Mus musculus: one gene and its partner. The protein of the gene in region 2 interacts with the protein of the main gene of each other region in a pairwise test. Links are inferred from orthologs where the notes say so. Each region holds a gene or a part of one and is shown on either strand. Other genes may lie near its edges.

Region 1 (3,909 bases), on a different chromosome or scaffold from region 2:
TGTTTCTTGGTTTTGTTTTCGCTGGTACTTCTGAGAGCACAATAGCACATCTCACTAGATTGATGTTGAGGCTAAATCACTTTGCTGCTGGAAAACCCCAGGCCCAGGTTTATAAAACCACAAAATGAGCCCAGGCCAGAACTGGCATGAGACAACTGCCTACGACATGGACTCTAGCTTGTCTCACAATCCTGTGCTTCTTGTCCTCAGCACTTCCCCTTTCTTACACAGGAGGTGTGACATAGCTTCCACAGGGTGGGGGAGGCCACTGAGAGCCTGGGGCAGCTGGTAGTCAAGTGTTTCAAGGCTTGCCAAATCAAACCAAATAGGAAGCTGCTCACTCCTCATTGGTGAACATGAATTCCAGAGAATGGAAAATATGTGAATTAATAACTTAAGTTTCAGCCTTCTAAACAGAATCCACCTGATCTTCAAGCCAACTGTGGTGACTTAAGCATTATTCCATAACCATGCTTTCAAAAGGGTGCTCAGATCTGAGATCGAGAAACAGGTCATCAGGATAGCCCATGGAGTAAACATTGTGTGTATGCATGTCAGACAGGGCGAGAGGGAAAGAGAGAGACAGAGGGAGGGAGAGAGAGAGAGAATGAACATGCTGTGTGTTTTTACTCACAAGCTCACCACAAGGCACTTAGGAGCCTTACAAATACAAGTCTATTAAACCTCCAGACACAGGACTCAAATCTATAGAAAAAAAATTTTTTTTTTAATTTTTCGAGACAGGGTTTCTCTGTGTAGCCCTGGCTGTCCTGGAACTCATTCTGTAGACCAGGCTGGCCTTGAACTCGGAAATCCATCTGCCTCTGCCTCCGGAGTGCTGGGATTAAAGGCGTGTGCCAGCACGCCCAGTTTAGAAACTGAGAAAAAGATTACTGCCATCTCCTAAGGAGGTGGCAGGGATAATTTACTAGTACCCAGCTATTCAGAAGGTTGAAAACAGCCTTTCAGACTGTACCCAGTCCACTGTCTGATAAAAGAAGCCAAGGCTATCACAACCCTTCATCTGTGCTCCACACTGTTGCTAGGTCTGCATCACGTAATATTTATTTATTTATTTATTTAGGTTTTTTGAGACAGGGTTTCTCTGTATAGCCCTGGCTGTCCTGGAACTCACTTTGTAGACCAGGCTGGCCTCGAACTCGGAAATCCCCCGCCTCTGCCTTCCAAGTGCTGGGATTAAAGGCGTGCGCCACCACGCCCGACTAAGTTTTTTTGTTTTTGTTTTGTTTTTTTTAAAACCATGACAGAGTCTCACTACTCAGCTCTGTCCTGGAACTTACTATGTAGACCAGGCTGGACTTGAACTCACAGAGATCACCTGATCATCTCTGCCTCCTAAATGCTGGGGCTAAAGGTATGCCATGCCCAGATTAACATAAAGATTTAATGTTGAACAAAATTAAACCACCGGCTTGATTATAGTTTTGCTCGCCTTTAGCGAATTCCAGGACAACCAGAGCTACATAGTGAGTCACCATCTCAAAAAAATTAATTAATTAAATTAAACCACTGTATTCAAACCTATGAAAATCCAGTTACAGGTACCAGAATGACATGTGTTAGGTCAAAAGGAAGAAAATCTAACAGCCCAGTTTTCAATTTTAATTGGAGAACTGTTTCATGTGTGTTGCTGGGCGTTCCAACGCAGAAAACACGTAAATCATCAAGATCAGCGCTCTGAACCGAAAGTGAAACCTTAGGCATCAATGTTGAAAATACCACTTTCACTTGTAGATCAATCGAGATTGCATACAACCTTACGCACATTCAACACGTTCCCTCTCGGGGAAATGACATGCCATTAGGGCCTCCTATTTAAAAGCAAGGGAAGGAGGCGAGGACAAGTGTGGGTCCAGAAAGCTTGCGTTCTCACACCCCGCGTTCCGCTGTCAGCCCCGGCAGTCAGCTCATCCAAACTCAAGCTGCTGGCTGGTGTCCATCCCTTCCCCTCCGCCCCGCCGCGACCCCCTCCCGCTTCCGCCCCAGCCCGCCTCGCCGCGTCCGCCTGGCCGCTCCTGCCCACCGAGCCCACGGCCGCCCCGGCCGCGCTACCAGGCCCAGGCCCAAGGCCCGGTCGCTGCCGCAGCCGTCTCACCTGCGCCACTGCCGAGCCAGCTGCGACCTGCCGAGTGCCCGGATGCGGCAAAGGCCGCCGTTTGTTTTCATTCCGGGTGAGGCCGGCCCCGCCCCCGGCTCCGCCCCCTCGCGCTGTCCGGAAGGCCGGTCGAGGACCGGAGCTGCATGGAAGGGTGGGGCCAAGGGGCTTGAAGGGCGATCTGAAGCATCGAACGGAAGGAAGCCCTGAAAACGCGGCTGTGGGCGGGGCTAGTATTTAATGGGCGGGGCTGATATGGGGCGGGACAACAGAGTAGATGGAAATAGGGAGAGTGTAGCTAGGGCGGGGCTGACGTGTAAGGGGGAAGAGAGACAAAGTGGTTGGGGCGAGGGCCGCGCTGAGGGTCAGGCGATCTGTGGGCGGGGCTGGTAGTTTGCGGTGGAGCGGATGTGGGACCGGGCGAGGAGGAAGATGGAGGCAAGGGCCGACTGTAGGTGGAGCTGTTAGGTGGAAAGGCAAGGCTAAAACTGGTCAAAAGCGGTGGGAGGGGGTCTGCTGTGCAGGGGGAAGAGGCGTGGTGAGGAATGGAAGTGAGGCAATGCTAGTCTTCAATCACGAGGTCTTCGGACCACTCCCAGACCGAGTTTTTCAGAGTCAGAGGAAAATGAGTCTGCCTTTATTTATTCCCCAAAAGCCTTGACAGAGCAAGACCTGTTTTCCTGAACCTTTTCTCGTCTTCCCTCTACTAGGCCTAGGGGATCCCCTAGACTAAAGGATTCTCACACTACCCTCCACAATCCCACCAGGATCCCCGCTCATGGTGAAGTTAGGTACGCTACCCATGCCTCCCTCCAGCGGCTACTCCCACCATGAGTACAGTAGATAGAGACATCTGCTTTGCTCAGCGCTGTGAAAAATGCATGTGCCCTTATGTCTATGTAAGGGAACAATCCAAACGGGCATAAAAAAATGAAGACGCCGGGCAGTGGTGGCGCACGCCTTTAATTCCAGCACTTGGAAGGCAGAGGCGGGGGATTTCTGAGCTCGAGGCCAGCCTGGTCTACAGAGTGAGTTCCGGAAAGCCAGGGCTAAACAGAGAAACCCTGTCTCAAAAAGACCAAAAACCAAAAACCAAAAAAAAAAAAAAAAAAAAAGGCCTTTTTTTTTTTAAATACTATGAGAAAAGAAACAATGCTCTGGTGTTGAGCCCCATCTTGCTGCAGACTGTGAGAGGAGGCCTGAGCAAGCCTGCAGGAGCCTAAGCAACCAGGAACCCCAGCGAGGAGTTTGCCAATTGCCAGCCTGCCAGTGAAGCTAGATCCATCATTCAACACCCGCTTCCCACACACGTACTGGAGAACCCAGAGCAGGCCTGCTTAGTCAGTCCAAAAATGCCTGGCCTCACTGTGAATCAGGAACTAAACAAATTGTTATTATGATAAGGATCAGATTTGCAAGTTGTTTGTTATGCCCTCCAAACTGACAAAGCTTTCAGAACCAAACAAAAGAAAGTGACTGTAAACCCAAGAAAACTGTATCTGTAGATAACTGTTTCCACTCTAAGGAAATTGATTAGTTCCAGCACAATCACGACTATATAGAGAAACCCTGTCTCAAAAAACAAAGAAACAAAGAAACAAAAAACTGCCAGGCGTGGTGGCGCACGCCTTTAATCCCAGCACTCTAGAGGCAGAGGCAGGCCGATTTCTGAGTTCGAGGCCAGCCTGATCTACAAAGTGGGTTCCAGGAACAGAGAAACCCTGTCTCGAAAAACAAAAATAAATAAATAAATAAATTTAAAAAAATAAAAAATAAATAAAAGAAAAGAAAAA
Region 2 (3,909 bases):
TTCTGGTGACATTCAAGGCTGTCATTTCTAGGGGTGCCATTTACTTATGGTAGGTCTTCCAGGTAGAATTCCAGATGTGTGCAGGACAAGGACTGCTCTGATTGTCTTTACTACTAAAATCAAATTATGTATCTCATAAGAACGACTTACGGCTTCACTCTAATTACTCAGGGCAACCTAGCTTTTAAACCCCCGGGCCCTTCTTTCTTACTGGCAGTGTATTTTCTGTGACAGGCAGGCATACATCCCTCTGCCAGCACCCAGGTAGTATTGGATTTCCCTGTATCTCTCACAGCCATTCCCACCCTGGCTGAAAGGGGCAGGGGTGGGGGGTGGGCAAGATGACCCTAATTTGACCAGAACTCAGTCCTTCCTTCCTTCCTTCTGACAACCTCTAGCAAGCAGGTAACAAGAATGAAGCCCATGATGGCTTTCCTTTGACACACTCCAAATCTTGTCCCACTCCTGGGACAGAGATTTGTCCAAAGTCATTTAAAGCTGTCCAAGGGGGCAACAGAGAGCCAATGTTGCTATCAAAGCGTCTGTTCTCTCTGGATTTTGTTTCGGAAATAGGAAAGAGGCGGTCACCCACCGCTTGCAGGCATCACTGATGCCCCTACCATAAGGAATGCTAGGAGTAAAGTTACTATTATCACAGGGTCCTGGGTACACTGCTGAATTAACCAACTGTCATTTCAGACCCAAATCTCTAGCGCCACCCACCCAGGAGCACAAAACATTCTGGGTAAAAATCCCCCAGCCCTGCCCCTTTACATCCTTGGCTAAGTCTTTCAGGGTGGGCTAGACTTGGAAGAGGGGAAGGTTGGGGGTTGATGACGACGCGGTGCCAAGGCACAGCACTCTGGCCAAAACACTTCTCAGACACAACAGTTTTCCCAGGGCCGTGTTCCACCTTCCTTTTTCTCCGAGTATCGTTTCCCGGTTTTATGCTGGAACCTTGGAATGGTTTGGGGACCAATGAGGTGGCAGCGGTTGATTCATGGATCGCGGTGAGGGAAGATTTCATTTCCAAGGAGGAAAGAGCGCGCGGGGGGCGGGCGGGGGGGGGGTGCTGGAGAGGCAGCAAAGCCAGAGGGGAGGCGGGGGAGAAAGTGGGAAGAAGGGGCCAAAAGTGGGAGGGGAGGAGGGGAGAGAGCCTGCGGGGAAGAGCCAAGGCGGCGGAGGTGAACGCGCGAGGTAAGCAGAAGCAGCAGGTTCGCTGGCCGGGGACACCAGGGGAAGGCGGCTGCTGCTGAGGGGCGTGGGCTGGGCCGGGACGCAGGGGGACGGTCACTGTCGGTCCTGCCTGGTGGTTGCGTCCCTGAGCTCAGCGTCCCGCCGCCCCGGGTGTCCCCGCCCGCGCGCGCCCGTTGGGGGGCCCGGGGTGCGGCGCCGGCCGCCCGGCCGCATTGTGACGTAGCGGGGCCGCGGCAGCGCCTCCGCCGCCCGCCGGGTCTCCTGCGCCCGCCGCTCTCGCCGTCTGTCCGTCCATCCCTCCCGCCGTCCTCCCGCGCTCCGGTGAGTCCAGGTCCCAACCGCGGGCGCCGCAGGGAGGAGAGGGACGAGGGCAGCCCGTGCAACTTTGCACCGGGCGACACCCTGAGGGTTTTCGGGACCCCGGGGGCCCCCTTTGTGCCTCGGGTCCCTTCTGCTCGGGGCCGCGCGGTGCCGCTGCAGAGAGCTACAAGAGGAGAACGTTGTGGTAACCCAGGCAGCTTCACCCCGGGGGACCCAAGTCGCTCCCGCCTCGCAATCCCTGGCTCTGGTGCAGGGGATTGTTCTTTTCATTGGCCCTTGCGCTGGCGTTACGCTTGCTGCTACCTCGGATGGTCCCGGAGGCGTGGATGGGTTGTGCCAAGGCTCCTAGGAGCTGCCAGGGAGGGGCGAAGGCATGGTGATAGCTACACTAGTAACCAGAACAATAACAAACGTGAAGGGGATGCCGGGTGGTGTCGCTACCCGAGGAGAGCCCCTGGCCCATCATCCCCGAGACGCCTAGGCTGCCCCGTCCAGCCTCGGCTCCTCCTCCCGGCGCTGTCCGGCGTCCCGGGATTGTCCATGTCTTAGGGAAGGCTTCTTTCTGACCCTCTCAGTGGCGGTGACTTTCGTCTGCAGGTGGTAAGTAGGGATGAAGCCAACGTTGGCTATTGTCAAATGCCACGTTTTGTTTATTTCATTTTTTTTTTCTCGAAAAGAAAGGGGAGAATATTCTGAACCAGTTCTGGCAGCCATACAGTTTCCACAGGAAATACTAGCATTCTTTGAGGAACACGCTACTGCTTGCAGCAAAGAAAGTCTTCAGGAGACAAAAAGGCAACTGCATTGTTGCTCATTTCCAACTAGCCGCTAGGAGGGTGGAAACAGTGTTGTTTTTTCCTGCGGGAACATTGCTTTCCTTGGGAAAGTTAATTAAGGAAGCATTGCTGGCTGTGCCCTTTTTTTCACTTGCTGGAAGTGGGATGCCACTCCTCCTGGTTATTACTGACAAGTGTCCATCTAATAGCCCCTGGGAAGAAAGAGCCACCAACCACCGCAACAGTCTCCCCACACACCACGTGCTGTGGAGCTCGGCCAGGGCACAGTTTGCAAAATGAAATAAGGACTATCTTGGGAGATTTATGGGGATTACATTCGCGCAGACGTCAGTTCTCCAAGGTGTCAACTCTAAACACATTATGGTCAGGCATCATTTCGGCGCTGAATCTGCAAGCAGGCAAAAAAAAAAAAAATTCTCATTATGAAGCAGACATCTCAGTTGGGAATAAGTTCAAATCTGTATTTCATTTGTACACATTGAAAAATTCAAAAGTCAAGAGAGCAAGATTGTAGAAAGGCCCATATGCTAATGTGTGCACACCTGGGAGGCAGTGTCTATTGGCTGATTCTGATGTGACTTGATATTAAATTACTTCCTACATAGCAAAATGCAGGGAGATACCTTTAAACTGTCCTTACAACTAATAGAAGAATGTGTGACATTTGGGGGCTGATCACAGAAGTCTCTTTCTCAGGGAACATTAACCAAGTATTGCCCATAATGGAATAACTCGAGTTTCCAGGTCTAGATCAGAAAGTAAATGATGGCACTTCTCTTAAGAGTCATAGAACATCACTAATGTTAGTAATGCTGCTAAAAGGGAGGTTTATAAAGAGGTTTTATCAGTTTGAACATAACCTTTATCATCCCTCAGAGGTTCGTGAAGAGAGTTTACAAGACAGTACATCTGAAATGGTACTGCATTCGCTAATTCGATGTTTCTATTTGTCCGTGTCTGAAAGGAAGTGACTAAGGTCCGTGGATTTCTGTGTGCCATGTCACAGCTTTGCTGAGTCCAAGCAGCTGTTCAGTGCAGGTGTGCAGTGGAAACAGGGAATAGAAGCCAAAATCGTTGGGAGCACGGTTGTTTTGGAAGGACTTGGAGGGACTTCACTGTGCCTAGGAGGAGGGAAGCCCACAAAAACATCTAAAACATACAAATGCTCTTTGATATCATCAGAGAAAGCCCGGAGCCATGTTTCTTGCCAGATTTAGCTTGTTTCTTGTGAAAAGAAGAAATCTCCCAAAGTAGCAGGTGCATCATTAGAAGAAACACAAGGGACTTTCTCTCTTAAATGCAAAATCTAATTGAAGAGCCACAAGAGGATCCTGTGACACTCTTAGAGAAAGAGCCTAGTTTTTGGCACTCTTTCAGGTTACAGATGCAAATCCCATAGGAGAAATGTGTGTCTTCGGAGACAAATAATAGGTGGCGAGAATCAAATAGTTGCTTCTGTGAAACAGGAACCTGTATATGCTTATTTACTTTTGCTCTTTGACTTATATGCAAATTCACTTGCAGAGTAAAATTTCCTGAAATGAATACATAATTTGGTCTCTTAGCTAAACACTATGCATTATTTTCCAGTTAG

The links.
Region 1: the proteins of Sncaip (region 2) and Nub1 interact in a two-hybrid assay, tested with the Homo sapiens proteins (2 studies listed by BioGRID). The link is inferred for Mus musculus from reciprocal best matches to the Homo sapiens genes SNCAIP and NUB1.

Annotation. Positions count from the first base shown.
Region 1 is NC_000071.6:24,684,230-24,688,138, reverse strand, and holds the start of Nub1 (NEDD8 ultimate buster 1), read right to left. Parts: upstream 2,325-3,909; 5' UTR 2,188-2,324; coding exon of another isoform or gene 2,117-2,187; intron 1-2,116. UniProt on the Homo sapiens protein: Specific down-regulator of the NEDD8 conjugation system. Recruits NEDD8, UBD, and their conjugates to the proteasome for degradation. Isoform 1 promotes the degradation of NEDD8 more efficiently than isoform 2.
Region 2 is NC_000084.6:52,766,941-52,770,849, forward strand, and holds the start of Sncaip (synphilin-1), read left to right. Parts: upstream 1-1,152; 5' UTR 1,153-1,197; exon of another isoform or gene 1,198-2,118; intron 2,119-3,909. UniProt on the Homo sapiens protein: Isoform 2 inhibits the ubiquitin ligase activity of SIAH1 and inhibits proteasomal degradation of target proteins. Isoform 2 inhibits autoubiquitination and proteasomal degradation of SIAH1, and thereby increases cellular levels of SIAH.